4 linked regions of the Nothobranchius furzeri genome follow. The protein of the gene in region 1 interacts with the protein of each later gene in a pairwise test. Links are inferred from orthologs where the notes say so. Each region holds a gene or a part of one and is shown in the gene's direction. Other genes may lie near its edges. The genes, in order: ubiquitin-protein ligase E3A, tat, jade1 and mcm6.

Region 1 (3,058 bases):
TCTAATTCACCATTAGCATTGTTAGCGCATTGTTAGCCTCTAGCCTGCTTCTCCTGAAATTTGAGTAAAACAAAAAGATGCTGTGGCTTCTTAGGGGTACAAGAAATGACTTCTGGGTTGCTCCTGTTTACAGGCTACTGTCCTTTAAACAACTTTTTGCCTGTTGGTTTTGAATTACAAATGCCTGAGCTGCTGAGTTAGCTCACTGCAGATTCGGCAACCTCACAAACTCTGAGTGTAAACGGTGACTACGTCCCACTTTTCTTCTTTTCAAAAAGAGAAACATTGACAGACTCTAAGCTGTGTGAGAAGGACATCGGTTCCAGTTTCACCTTTCTTCCAACCTGACAGACATTAGACCTTTTTGGGATTATTTCTCACAAATTGCACCTTTATGTGGGATGAAACTCTTGCATGGTTACAACAAATAAAATCTGACCAGTGTGGCGTGCATTTGTATACACCCACCCATAAAAAGTTTGATTTTGGTCTGGTCCCACCAGAGTACCTTCTTCCTCATATCTGCTACATGACTAAGGTTGGGCATTGTTTGATTTTGAACGATTCCAATTCCTCAGTTTGATTCCGGTTCCTATCGATTCCCGATTCCGGTTCTTTCAAGACATGGCATGTTTTACATGAGCCAGCTAACCACAGGTCCTGCTTGATGAAATAATCTTAACTTCAACATTAATTTTAACTCTATGAACAACAACATCACCTTCATTTAGACAGAAACATGTTTTGGAGGAAAAAAGAAAGACTTGCAGCACAACCAGTGTGTTTGTTTCTGACCACAACCAAAGTCTGGAAGCAGCCTCTGGGATGAGAGGCTTAATGTCTCCAACATATCCAGAAACGTCCAGCTGTTTTCAGCTAAAACTCTCAGGAAGATCATGTCCAGGATGACTGAGAACTACACCTCCATGCAGCAGCAGCATTCAGTTAGAACAGAAAGTGAAACTTAATTGTAGCTGCTGTCAGTAACAATCTAACAGACACGAGTGTTGGTGAGCGGCTGCATCTGACTGCTGATGCTCCGTGTGTGTTTTTATTTCAGCAGTGAGACAAACTCACCTCACACCGTCCAGAGTTCTTTAAAGCTTCTGTTAAATCCACCGTGTTGACGTATTTTAACACGTTTCCTCTACGCTGCAGGAGTAAAGTTTACGTTACGGAGTAAAAGTTCGGCAGACGTGTTTGTTTATATCTGGGTGGGGGGAGGGGGGACTCGGTGCTGCACACAGACAGCTGGTGTGATCAGCTCTGAAAAGCGTTGATCACAATTTGCAGATCACGTTTATTTTTCATGATCGGCCGCGGATTCCTCTTCCAGTCGGCATTCTAGGAATCGAAATAAAAAACTTTGAACGATTCTGGGGAAAACTAACGGTTTCAACCGGTTCCAATCGATGCTCGATGCCCAACCCTAAATGACTCCTGGAAAACAAAAGCCCCTGATGACTCGTGTGTAACCTGAGTGGGAGTGAGTGGTGACCCCAGCTGTGTTGTGTGTTTTGTCTCCAGGTTACCCACGTCCCACACTTGCTTCAACGTGCTGCTGCTGCCTGAGTACAGCAGCAAGGACAAGCTGAGAGAGAGACTGCTGAAAGCCATCACCTATGCCAAAGGGTTTGGCATGCTCTGAGCCCCCCGCCCCCTCCTGCTACTAACAGACTCCTACTCAGAAAGCCCATGAAGCCCCGCCCTTGTTTTACCAGTCCAAACGGTGACTGATCACCCCCCACGCCGGGGGGTGTGTGTCCAGAAGGAAACATCAGTGAAAATGAGAGGACCCGTGGTTGTACGCCAGCGCACTATTACATCTGCTGCTGTGCCTGCATCATCCTACATCCGTCAGTGAGAGCACAGAGACCTCCTGAAGCACCCCCTCCTTTATGTTCCATGTACAGAGAGGATCATTTTCCTTATTATTTATTTGAAGGTTAAAATGGGTTCATCCATGCCTGTCTGTTGTGGTAGCTTCCCTACTCTGGGAAAGGGGGAGGGTTCCTATTAATCCATGTACATTTGGGACAGTGTCAAGTCAATAAAACCAGTTTATTGAACAAAACCTTGCTAAAGTAACCCTGATCTATCCAATCTTATGATCTAGTTTAGAGTAGCCTTTACTACAGATCCTGTACTCCCCTCTGAAGAGAGCCTTCACTCACCATTCCACCCACTCCTGTTGCTTTCTGTGTCCACAGACACAAAAATGATTAAGGTAAGCATCTGAGGGAGGACTGTCCTTTGGTCCAAAACGGCACATTATCGTAAATCTGTAGCTTATTTTTTAGTGCTTGGGCTTTTTTCGTTTGTATTCTGGGGGGACTCTGTTGGTTAGATTCGATCTTGTCAGAGCTGTGTAAAGTGCACTTAGACATTTTCAGAATGTTTGTTTCTTTGGCCACAGGTTGCCATTATTGTTTGGAGCATTTCATTTCCTTGTCTTCCTGTGTTGACAATTCCAAATAAAAACAAAACCAGTGTTTATATATGAGTGCAGCTGGAACTGCAGCAGTGGATGGTGCCTACGCACCTGCATTTATTTATAAAGCGCCATCTAGAGTCCCAGAACCCCCAAGGCACTTACAACACACACACTAGTGGTGGTGTAGCCGCAGCTGCCCAGGGGCACACATTCAGCTCCATCAGACCCTTCAACCATCACCAGCAGGTGAGGAGAGTGGAGTTTCTTTCCAACAGACCAGGGGTCTCATTTATCAAACATTGCGTAGAATCCTTACTAAAACCCTACTTAAGCTCAGAAACAAAATGTACTTACGCCAAGTAGGTTTGTGATCCAGTGGAGTACGCACAGCTGCACGCAATCTCCGCTTCATAAATCGGAGACTAACGAGAATGTTTCTCAGCTGCTTTTTAGTCACATCCCGCCCTCACCACGCCCACTTACTGCCATAAATAGTCAATGCAAATTGCCTTGTGGATCTCATGCATATACATAAGCCGGCTGTTGCAGCACTCCGCCAATGACATGGCGATCGCAGATCAAGGAAGTGCTGTTTCACAGAAGCAGACATTGAGGTACTTGTGG
Region 2 (4,058 bases), on another chromosome or scaffold:
TTCTGAACTCTCATGCTTGAATGTATGGAGCATAACTCAAGGGGTGAGGCAGTGTTAACTTCTGATCATGTGTGGCCGAGCCGTCCATCACAGAGCCCTCTTCACTGATGATGCCATCACGTGATTGGTTTAGATCACCCGCTCCAAGGTGTGGGAGGAGCATCAAGGTAGAACTTGTTATTATAAAGAGGAAATCTAAGACCGCCACCATGTTGGTTTTTCATGCCGTCATTCCAACCAGCTGTCTGACGTGGACATAAGTGTCAGTTAGGTTATGACGTCATAGCCGACAATTTACCAAATGAAAATAAAACCTCACCCTTTTCTCAAACTGTGCACCACTTTCTACATTTGCACATTATTTATTTTTTGGACAAGTGTTTGTATCACAGTGATCTTAACTCCGGAACTAATTATTTATATTTATTACTAAATCTGTTAAAAACTAGGCAAGATATAACAGCAAACAAAAGTTATTCGGTCAGCTTGTGTACTTTTTTATAAAACTGAGTTTGCCTCTGTCTTGAAACAGAAATGAACCTTTTATTATATTAATCGTACTCGAGCTTTTATGTCTTGTAATCATTCACCAGGTAGGCTCGTGTTTGTTTAGACCTTCATCCCGGAGTCATCTCCAGCTGTGTCACACGTTGCACAACATCTGGAGGTCATAACAGCTCCGCAGCCGTTAGACAATTCAACAACATCATCACAGTTTCTCTGATCAGGATAGAAAACTCATGTAACTTGTAACGCTGGAGGTTTAAGGACGAGCTTTTTTATTTAGGGGAAAGCTCGTTAAAAAATGAAAAACAACATTTTTGTGGACTGTTTAGATCATCAGAGGTCTGCGTGCTGACCAAATCCTGGAAACTCATTCTGAGGCAGGAAGAGTCTTATAAGAATTTAGATTTTTTTGTTAATTATGCAATTATGCATCATAATTATTATATTTCGAGCTTTTAACTAATTTAAAGCAGAGACACAACACTTCCTGCTGTTGAGGCTGTCTCACTTTGCGCCCCCGCGAGGCTTATGACGCGCACAATGCGCCCCCTGCGCAGCCAACGAGAGCTCCCGACATTTGCGTGAGCCCAGACCCGCACACCCTCCTCCCCTCCATCTCCACGGTTCCAAATTGCAGCCGTTAATGGTTTAAGGTGGTTCTGGTTAGTTATGTAAGAGGGTGCAATAGCACAACCCTCAGCTTCCACCAATGGAAACCTGGGCAGCGCTCAACTCCCACATGGATGTCTTCCTATAAAACATCATCTATAGGCTATAAATACGTCCTGAATCTCCCTTTTGGACATTTGGTTTAGGAGTTACTGACCTGCTCTGGATTCTGGAGACTTTGTGCTGATTGTTTTATGAGGTAAGGATTATTTTTCTTCTTCTCCAAAGCTGTTAGAGGATGAATGAATACAGATGATGAACCAAGATGGATAAGAGTCAGCTTGATCATGCAAGTTGGTGCTGATGAATTTTTTTGTGCAGCGTAGGTTCAGTTTGACACAAAGGTGAAGACAGTGAGCATCATCATCCAAAAAGAGATCAAATTAAACCCAATTATTTGATTACTGGCTGCTGTTTCTCAGGTGTTTTGAGTTGATTTTCCTAATTATTGGTGCTAGTAGCTGTCTCTTTTCTTAGTCAGAACATTTCAGCCTCCCCTTCTTTAGTTACTACTTCCCTAGATGACTTAAAATGCTGGTAATTTACCACCTACCCTCTCATGCAATCCTCCTATGTTACTCCTCACAACATCTACAAGGGCGCAACATAAGCATTAATGATGTATACACATTATCCGAAGCGTGTAGTTTCAGTTAAGTCTCATTAACATATGAAGACAAAATATAAAGAAGTTGACCTGCAAGCGAAAGGATTAAAGTTTCACAAGAACTAAAAATAAAATATGATTTTAAAAGTATATCATAATAAAAATGAGGAAAAAAGTACATTTTAGATGAAAAGATGTGAAGGAAGACAAAATTAAAAAAAAAAGATAATCACTGTATCACAAGAAAGACAGAATGAGGAGAAGGTAGTGATGAAGAATCAGCAGAAGGTCGCACCAAAGCCAGCCTGTTTTCAGCTGCTTTTTAAAGGAGACCACTGAGTCCACTGATCTCAGGCTCAGGGGGAGAGAGGTCCAGAGTCTGGGGGCCACAGCAGCAGATGATCTGTCACCTTTGACCTTTAGACTGGTGCTGCACAACCAGTAGAATTTGATCACTGGACCTCAGGGACCTGCTGGGGGTGTAGGGACTAAGAAGATCACCAATGTAAGATGGTGCTTGTCCATGTAAGGCCCTATAGACCAGAACCAGGATCTTGGAATGAACCCTGAAGTTGACTGGCAGCCAGTGAAGCTGGAGGAGAAGCGGGGTGATGTGGGTGTGTTTGGAGGACTTGGTCAGAAGCCGAGCACCGGCGTTCTGAACCACCTGTAGACGGTTCAGGGAGGTTCTGCTCAGACACGTGAAAAGAGAGTTACAGTAGTCTAAGCATGAGGAGATGAAGGTGCGGAGAACTGTCTCAAGTTCAGAGCGGGACAGAATGGGACTCAGCTTAGCAACGTTCCTGAGATGGAAGAAGGAGGAGCCAACAAGAGAACTGACATGAGAATCCAGGGTGAGAGCTGGGTCAAAGGTCACGCCAAGATTCCTGACAGAAGGTTTGGTGTGGGAAGCAAGCTGACCAAGAGAGTCTCTGACTTTGGGAACCAGCTTGTCTGGGGCACAGATGAGGATCTCAGTCTTATCTTCATTCAGCTGAAGAAAGCTCCCACCATCCAGGTTTTGATAGAGTCTAAGCAGGTGTGGAACAGCTGCAGCTTAGACATCTCATGGGGCTTAAAGGAGATGTACAGTTGGATGTCATCTGCATAAAGATGGTAGGAGAGTCCTTTGAAGGAGCTCAGGATGTGCTGAAGAGGAAGCAGATAGAGGAGGAAGAGCAGAGGCCCCAGCACAGAACCTTGTGGGACACCATGGGTAAGAGAGGTGGTGGAGGACCTAAACTTGGAGACGGCCACAGAAAAGGAGCGCTCAGAGAGATAAGAGGGGAACCACTCCAGAGCAGATCCTGATAGGCCGACCCAGTCTCTCAGCCTCTCCAGTAGCAGGTTAGACTCAGCTTATCAATGTTAAGCAATTTAATGACCAGATTATCTTTTTTTATGCATCATCAGTTCCGGATGGACAACAAGGCCTACGTGGTTCAGATGAATGACAAAAGAGTCCATGGCAAATCTGCCATCCAACCCAAACCCCTGAATGGGACTGGTGTGACTGGGAAGGGAATGCATGGGAATGGGATACACCACGTCAACGTGAACGGCAGCTTGTATCCAGCCAAAGTCAAGAGCCGCCGGCAGATGTGGGACGTGCAGCCCTCAGAGATGGCCAACAACACGCTCAACCCCATCAGGGCCATCGTGGATGGGATGAAGCTCACCCCAAACCCAGACAAACCCATGATCGCACTTTCTATCGGTGGGAACTTTCTGGTGTTTCATTTGTTCCCTTGTGTCCTGTGGTTCATCACAAGACTCTGTTTAGTGTTGATTCAGCAAACAGGACACATTTTCGTTTGTTACAATCTCTGAATACCACATCTGCTTTCCAGGAGATCCCACTGTCTTTGGAAACCTGCCTACAGATGATGCTGTTCTCCAGGCCATGAAAGATGCCATCGACTCCCAAAAATTCAACGGCTATGCTCCTTCTGTGGGTGAGTCGCTCTGATGAATAAAGGCGTTGACGTGCAGAAACGACAGTGCTGTCTTCAGCAGAACTTGCGTTCACTGACATTTTCCACCCTTTGGCGTCATGCATCTGTACTTTTTGCACCTTTAGGTTACTTACAGAGTCGACAGGCTGTGGCCAACTTTTACAGCTGCCCCGAGGCTCCGCTGCAGGCAGAGGTGCTGAGTCTGCTTCAGTCACACCTATAAACACTTCCTATATGGAGACGAAGCAGTTTGTGCCAGCAAACATTTTAACTGTACTAACTTATCAGTTTATTCTTACCAAATGACAGCTAAACGTTTC
Region 3 (4,221 bases), on another chromosome or scaffold:
CTAAATTAAAAGAATAAAATTTTTACTGCAGGAAGCTGATTTCCTCGATCAGGTGGTTAAAATTAATATGTTTAAAGGTTAATTAACTTGATTTGAATCTAAAAGTGTTTAAATTTTATAAATCAATGGTGCAAATATTTGCATTTCATTTATATTTATTAAAAAAGTAAATTTGTACAAAACTTTAAATGAAAGAAAAATGTTGTGTAAAGAAGAAACGTTTCTATTTTAGCTCCATGTTATAAACACAATTCTTCAGCTGACATAATTTAAATGAATCTTTAAAGATACCAAGTGTTTATTAGCAGTAAACCCTAAACTATAAATGGTATTTTTATATGATCTGTCTCTTTAATAATCAGTTTGCCCTAAAAGGAGTGGGTGTTGGGAAAGCTGAGTCATTCACACTAATACAAGAATTGTGATAAATTTGAGTTAATCCGTTGGTTCTTAATAAACAAATCCATTATTTTCCTGAGGCGGTAAAATACTTTGGACGTTTATGATCACGGCAATAATAAAATATACTCATCTCCGATCTGGTTGTGGGATAGTGTGCTGCCCTCTAGCGGAGTCCGGGCGCAGCTGCAGTCCCTTGGTAACCTCCTCCCAGACCGCCGCTCTGGAATACGGGTCAAGCGGATCTCAGCTAAAACTGCGCCCCACAGCGAACTCAAGCATCGGCTTGCATCGGTCTGACGTGCTCGTACGTACTGTACAACTTATTTCAAGTGTTCTTATTAACACGCACACATGTAAACAAATCTTGTAATCGGGAAAGGTGGGCAAGTTTCCGTTATGGTCGCACGAGCGGTCCGCTAGGAAAACGCGACGTCGTCATTTAAAATGGCGCCAAAGGTTTACCTCAGCCCGTTCTGTAAACATCCCACTCTCTACTGCTGGTTAGCCACACTGAAAACCAACTTGTGTTTACATGTTAATTAATATTTCTTATCCAGAGATGTATATTGAACTTGTGTAAGATTTATGCATTAATATCTGACCCCTAACTTTTGACTGATTGCGGCAGTGGCTGATTTAATAAGGGACACAGCGTCTGCAATGGCTACCAACTAGCTCCGAAGTTGCTAACCCCAGGCATATTTGTTTTGCTTTGAGTTTTTTTCCCCTAGAGTGAAGTTGTGTGACGTGAACTGTGTTATACCGGTTCTTGTGTCTCGATACTGCAAGCGAAAGTAGTTATCTGATGATTACGCCATTAAGGCGCCGGGTATGTGTTGGCCTGGACGATGCACACAGCAGCAGCTATCGGGCTAGCAGCGTTCGATAGCTGCAATCACCGTGAGATCTTTCAAATTCAGAACAACTTTGGGTCTTTTGGAATTTTTCATCATTATCTAACGGAACACACAGCCGCTTTCTGGATTCCGCTGTAGTTTTTTTTTCTCAGCGTCACTTTTTGCTGCACCAACACGGGCGTCACGGACACGGGTGTTTAGAATCTACTGGTAGTTAGGTTATCTGGTGAGATTTGCCGATTCGCTACGTGATCAGCGCAGCATTTAATGAACCGTTTTCAGTAAGTTATTGTTGTATTTTCTTTGACCTATCATATCAATTTGATATTATCAAACATCAAACGTGGGGTCTGTTTTTATTTTGTCTGCCTTAACGTAAAACTACTAATTGTCAACACTTTTTGTGTGTGCGTGTACGTTGAGATTACGTTGTACGGCCGCTTCGGAAGTCTACGGAAGCCGCCAGTTCTTATTTTTATATGCCGATGGTTCTTACGAAGCAAAATACAAACGCGTTTGCTCAGATTAACATTGGTGTTTCAGCGTCTATGTAAACGGGAAACGGAAAGTGGCATAACACCGGAAGTGAAGCGAGTTTAAAATGACAATATCCGGTTATAATATTCAAAAAAATAAGTGGTTCATGTGGTGGTGTCACCATCATATTTTAATAAACAACATTTCCATTTCTTCATTTGTTACATTTAAATAAAAACGTGCTCATTTAAATTACTTTGAAGTTTTTTTTTATTTTGTTAGTTACACACACATCCGGCTTGGAACACATATCTTATTTAAAGAGCAAGTCACCCCCAAATAAATTTTTTTTTGCTGATAAACTAAATAAACGAGTGTCTAATCGTGCTGCAGACACGTGTAGTGAATAATTTGGCACTTCAGTCCATCTTAGTTAAAATTTAAATATTCTGCCTAAAACTGGCAGTGTTGTGCCGTTGTCAGGTAAAAACTCTGCACTGTATTTTAATTTAAGTCTGCCACCGCTATTGGCTAAGAGGTATGCTATGATGTAAACTGGTACATTATGATGTCACAATGCTGTTGTGAGCCTGTGTGTGTGTATTTGTTAGCAGCTCCGCCTTCTCGGTCTGCCAGGCAACAGCATTTGTTTCATTTTTCAAACAGGAAGTGAGAGTGGAGTTAGACTCTGGTAGGGGTTGACTTGCTCTTTAAGTCCAGGCTGTAATTTCTTGCTACTCTGCGGCCTTGGAGGCAGGTGGTGTTTCTGTTTATTTGTGGGTTGTTGTTGGATGTAAACTTGAAATAGACCGATATATCAGGGCGATATTTACCAGTTATTATACATATAGTCGGGCACTTCCGCTGGCAGCCCACTGCTGCTGCTGAATTTAATTTTTTAATGTGTATTTACGTTCCTGAATAACACTTGCTTTAAAACATTATTGTTGATTAACATTTTATTTACCTACCTGTTTTGTATATTTAATACGTGTCTGTTATTCATTTCTTTGATTAACTTTGATTAAACAAATAATTAAAACATGGAGATGCACGCAAAATTAATATTGTTAGTTAAATTCAGTGAACGTTGTGCTTTCACTGTTATTAGTGACATCTTAGTGTGTAAATAAGGTAGGAAAATTCAGCCTTAAAAATAGGCCCAAAGAATCGGCTGACTGTGACTTCTACAGGTGCTGGCCAGTAAATTAGAATATCATCAAAAGGTTGAAAATATTTCAGTAATTCCATTCAAAACGTGAAACTTGTACATTATATTCATGCAATGCACACAGACCAATGTATTTCCGATGTTTATTACGTTTAATTTTGATATTTATAGGTGACAACCAATGAAAACATCAAATCTGGTATCTCAGAAAATTAGAATATTCTAAAGGCCAATGAAAAAATGTTTGTTTCTCTAATGTTGGCCAACTGAAAAGAATGAACATGAAAAGAATGTGCATGTATAGCACTCAATACTTAGTCGGGGCTCCTTTTGCCTCAATAACTGCAGTAATGCGGCGTGGCATGGACTCGATCAGTCTGTGGCACTGCTCAGGTGTTATGAGAGCCCAGGTTGCTCTGATAGTCGTCTTCAGCTCCTCTGCATTGTTGGGTCTAGCGTATTGCATCCTCCGCTTCACAATACCCCATAGATTTTCTATGGGGTTAAGGTCAGGCGAGTTTGCTGGCCAATCAAGGACAGGGATACCATGGTCCTTGAACCAGGTGCTGGTGGTTTTGGCACTGTGTGCAGGTGCCAAGTCCTGTTGAAAGGTGAAGTCTGCATCCCCATAAAGTTGGTCAGCAGCAGGAAGCATGAAGTGCTCTAAAACTTCCTGGTAGACGGCTGCATTGACCCTGGACCTCAGGAAACAGAGTGGGCCAACACCGGCAGATGACATGGCACCCCACACCATCACTGACGGTGGAAACTTTACACTGGACCTCATGCAACGTGGATTCTGTGCTTCTCCGCTCTTCCTCCAGACTCTGGGTCCTTGATTTCCAAAGGAAATGCAGAACTTGCTTTCATCAGAAAACATAACTTTGGACCACTCAGCATCAGTCCAGTCCTTTTTGTCCTTGGCCCAGGCGAGACGCTTCTTGCGCTGTTTCATGTTCAAGAGTGGCTTGACACACGGAATGCGACACCTGAATCCCATGTCTTTCATGAGTCTCCTCGTGGTGGTTCTTGAAGCGCTGACTCCAGCTGCAGTCCACTCTTTGTGGATCTCCCCCACATTTTTGAATGGGTTTGTCGTCACAATTCTCTGCAGGGTGCGGTTATCCCTAGAGCTTGTACACTTTTTTCTACCACATTTTTTCCGTCCCTTCGCCTGTCTGTTAATGTGCTTGGACACAGAGCTCTGCGAACAGCCAGCTTCTTTAGCAATCACCTTTTGTGTCTTGCCCTCCTTGTGCAAGGTGTCAATGATTGTCTTTTGGACAGCTGTTAAGTCAGAAGTCTTCCCCATGA
Region 4 (3,567 bases), on another chromosome or scaffold:
CAAGGCTGGAGTCAAGGTAGCACCGTCCAGCTGAGCCCGGAACACCTCACCTGTTCAAGTTTTTACCTCTGGAAAATAATCTCCTCTGTTTGTTCAGGCTACTCTGAACGCACGCACGTCCATCCTGGCTGCTGCCAACCCCGTCAACGGGCGCTACGACCGCAGCAAGAGCCTGAAGCAGAACGTCAACCTGACCGCCCCCATCATGAGCCGCTTCGACCTCTTCTTCATCCTGGTGGATGAGTGTAATGAGGTACGGAAACACACAACACGGAGGGAAAATGTGTGTGTGTGTGATTTTTCCATGCTGTAGTAACCAAGGATCTGATGGAGGTGATCATTTATCTACCCGTGTGTATCTCAGGTCACAGATTACGCCATCGCCAGGAGAATCGTGGACCTGCACTCCCGGGTGGAGGAGTCCGTGGACAGACTGTACTCCTTAGATGAAATCCGCAGATACCTGCTTTTTGCTCGGCAGTTTAAACCCAAGGTGTGTGTTTTAAATAAAAACAGGAAGTACTCCAGAATAAAGCTGCTACAATAAAAGTATCTAGGTTTCAAGCAGCACCCTCCTAAACCCCACTGCAGCTAACGCAAGCCGATACTACGCGAGTCACGGGGGAAAAAGTCCACACATATGGTCAAAAAATATATTCCTTTCAAGTCCACCATCAGTCTGTGATGTCATGTAGGCCACACCCATTTTCACTCTGGTTTTAGCGCTTTGCTCCGCCTCTAAAAACAATCCTCTCACTTTTATTTCCAGGCTACGCCATGATGCCAACAAAAAAAAAACAACTAACTGCTAGCTTTTATATTGGCTACCAGTACAGTAAACCGCTTTTGCCATAAACCAGGTAGAAACCTCCCTCTAGTGTTCCTACCTGAACCACAAAACGGTTTAGTAGAGTTCAGGGGCGGATTAAGGACCGAAGAAGATCCGGGGCTTAACACGCACACACACACACACGCGCACACACACACATGACACGCATTAGTCAACATCATATATGTCTTGTACCACATAATTTTTAATCTGAAGCTACATATTAAGCATTTTCAGGGCAGAGTATTGTTCCTGTTAGTGTTTAGTGTGAGATGATAGTAAATATTCCCGTTCTTTCTCCAACAACTTTACCTGATAAGCTAACTTTAGGCAAACCAGCAGCACAACAAGTACTTTCTAATAAGACTCACAAACCTGAGTCAACACCAGTCTCATCAAAGCTGGGGTTCTGTCGCCGTACTTTTGGTCTAAAAAACGTCCTTATGTCCATCTTCACTCATGCGTTTCAGGCAGAGAGTGTAGAAGAAGCCGGTTGCTGAAGGGCTTCTTCTTCAGTGGTGGAGGCTCAGGCAGGCTGTATACAAACTACTGCCAGCTGCTCCCTCTCTGTTGGACTTTGGTACTGCATGTTACTTCTGCAATTTAGATCCGGGGCTTTTCATGAAACATCCGGGGCTTCAGCCCAAGTAGCCGGGCCTAACGCTGCCCCTGGTAGAGTTTCTGGTCAGCAGAGGGCTACTGGGTGCTGTCCAATATGAAGATGCTTAAGAACCACTAAAACCAGTTTAAAAGCAATAGCTTAAAATGTTAAAAACCACTTGGTGTTGATTTTAAATGGCCTTACATTTATCAGGTGACTGTTTTGGACTGACTGAGTGTAAAAGCTGCAGTGTGTGTGTGTGTGTGTGTGTGTGTGTGTGTGTGTGTGTGTGTCTGTGTGTGTGTGTGTGTCTGTGTATGATGCCATGGCAGATCTCCGGTGAGTCTGAGGAGTTCATTGTCGAGCAGTACAAGCGTCTGCGTCAGCGCGACGGCTCTGGGAGCGTGTCCAAATCCGCCTGGAGGATTACGGTGCGGCAGCTGGAGAGCATGATCCGCCTGTCTGAGGCCATGGCACGCATGCACTGCTGTGATGAGGTACGACGTAGACGGAGGAGCTGACTGGACCAGGACAGAGCAGTTTGGCTCATGTTTACAGAAAGTGTCAAATGACAGGAAGCGGCGTCAAGACACAGCAGATGACTGGTGTGGACATGATCTGGAAAAAAGATGAATATGAAAAGCACCAATGATGGTTTCCTCGTCTCCAGGTGCAGCCCAAACACGTGAAGGAAGCTTTCCGTCTCCTAAACAAGTCCATCATCCGAGTGGAGACGCCCGACATCAACCTGGATCAGGAGGATGAATTTGAGGACGAGGAGCAGCAGGAGGAAGGTATGAGGAGTTATCTGTATGCACACCCTGCTGCTGATGATCTGTAGATCTTCACTGAACAGTTTTCCATCTGCAGTCAACAATGTACCAAATGGTGTCGACGATCATGTTAATGGGATTAATGGTCATGCCAGTGGCGTGAATGGTCACGCGGAGCATGACAGCCAACCCAAACCTTCTCTGCGTTTGTCTTTTGCCGAGTACAAACGCATCTCCAACCTGTTGGTGCTGCATCTGCGCAGAACAGAGGACGGTAAGAGGCGGTCCTCCTACTCCCTTTTGTCTAAAGCTGCAGCTAAACTGGACTTTTCTCCTTTTCAGCCGATCAAGAGGAGGAGCTGAGGAAAAATGCAGTGATAAACTGGTATCTGAAGGAGATCGAGTCAGATATCGACTCTGAGGAAGAGCTGATCAATAAGAAGGCTCTGATAGAGAAGGTCATCCAGAGGCTGGTCCACTACGTGAGTCTGCGCTCGGTGGATATTTCTATCAATGTTCGATTAAAGTTTAATCCGCTCACACCAACGTTTGTGTCTTTGTAGGATCACATCCTCATTGAGCTGTCTCAGGCTGGACTAAAGGGCTCTGAGGCTGAGAGCACAGAGGAAGACGTTGTTCTGGTCGTTAATCCCAACTACATCCTGGAGGATTAAACCATCTGCTCTGGATGTTCATGGTGTTCTGCTGAAGATCGCATGACTTTGGAGATGCTGTTAGACCATCTTTTGGAGGTGGCCCCTGCTGTACAAAGATGAACTATGGAGGCTCCTAAAAGATGAGATGTAAATACGCTGCTTTGTGTAGTTTGCTCCACTGACTGTTATGAGTCAGTAGAACCTCTGGACTGTGTGATGACTTTCTAATAAGATGGTTTCCACTTGTTGCTGGTTTTGTAATATGGTGACAGGAAGTGTACGCTTGTTTACTCAATAAAATGTTAATGTAAACACGTGGTTTTGATCCTGTTTTTGGGTAAATAACGTAATACCAGCACTGTCCACCGGGGGCAGCAGGCTGACTGGATGAAGAGGTATTGCGCATGTCTGTTTTTGTGTTATTCGACAAACATGGCGGCGCCCCGCTTGACAGCAGTCCGAGCAACCCTAACAGGTAAAAAACACGATAAACGTGAACTCACGTGATGAAGCCACCAAGTTAGCTTTTAATTCCACGTGTCGAACGCTAAATTAACCTATAAATATTTAGGGTTTCGTTGTTGGACGTTTACTCAAACACGTTTCCGGTAAACTAACCGGCGGGGAAGCGATGGAAGAAAAAGGTGATTTAAGGCTTAAATTCGTCCCTCAGGTTTCTCCACCTGTCGGTTTCTCTTCACGCATCGC

The links.
Region 2: the proteins of ubiquitin-protein ligase E3A (region 1) and tat interact in binary tests that used the Homo sapiens proteins (3 or more experiments, as listed by UniProt). The link is inferred for Nothobranchius furzeri from reciprocal best matches to the Homo sapiens genes UBE3A and TAT.
Region 3: the proteins of ubiquitin-protein ligase E3A (region 1) and jade1 interact in a two-hybrid assay, tested with the Homo sapiens proteins (3 studies listed by BioGRID and IntAct). The link is inferred for Nothobranchius furzeri from reciprocal best matches to the Homo sapiens genes UBE3A and JADE1.
Region 4: the proteins of ubiquitin-protein ligase E3A (region 1) and mcm6 interact in binary tests that used the Homo sapiens proteins (3 or more experiments, as listed by UniProt). The link is inferred for Nothobranchius furzeri from reciprocal best matches to the Homo sapiens genes UBE3A and MCM6.

Annotation. Positions count from the first base shown.
Region 1 is NC_091743.1:81,627,775-81,630,832, forward strand, and holds the end of ubiquitin-protein ligase E3A, read left to right. Parts: intron 1-1,527; coding exon 1,528-1,648; 3' UTR 1,649-2,496; downstream 2,497-3,058. UniProt on the Homo sapiens protein: E3 ubiquitin-protein ligase which accepts ubiquitin from an E2 ubiquitin-conjugating enzyme in the form of a thioester and transfers it to its substrates.
Region 2 is NC_091744.1:86,501,519-86,505,576, forward strand, and holds the start of tat (tyrosine aminotransferase), read left to right. Parts: upstream 1-1,238; 5' UTR 1,239-1,375; intron 1,376-3,196; 5' UTR 3,197-3,202; coding exon 3,203-3,500; intron 3,501-3,633; coding exon 3,634-3,738; intron 3,739-3,863; coding exon 3,864-3,931; intron 3,932-4,058. UniProt on the Homo sapiens protein: Transaminase involved in tyrosine breakdown. Converts tyrosine to p-hydroxyphenylpyruvate. Can catalyze the reverse reaction, using glutamic acid, with 2-oxoglutarate as cosubstrate (in vitro).
Region 3 is NC_091758.1:17,731,478-17,735,698, forward strand, and holds the start of jade1 (protein Jade-1), read left to right. Parts: upstream 1-1,407; 5' UTR 1,408-1,526; coding exon 1,527-1,540; intron 1,541-4,221.
Region 4 is NC_091751.1:64,049,500-64,053,066, forward strand, and holds the end of mcm6 (DNA replication licensing factor MCM6), read left to right. Parts: coding exon 1-16; intron 17-97; coding exon 98-253; intron 254-364; coding exon 365-493; intron 494-1,762; coding exon 1,763-1,927; intron 1,928-2,100; coding exon 2,101-2,224; intron 2,225-2,300; coding exon 2,301-2,477; intron 2,478-2,545; coding exon 2,546-2,685; intron 2,686-2,766; coding exon 2,767-2,877; 3' UTR 2,878-3,171; downstream 3,172-3,567. Other genes in the region: uncharacterized protein si:ch73-71c20.5, read left to right, coding at 3,247-3,334, 3,533-3,567. UniProt on the Homo sapiens protein: Acts as a component of the MCM2-7 complex (MCM complex) which is the replicative helicase essential for 'once per cell cycle' DNA replication initiation and elongation in eukaryotic cells.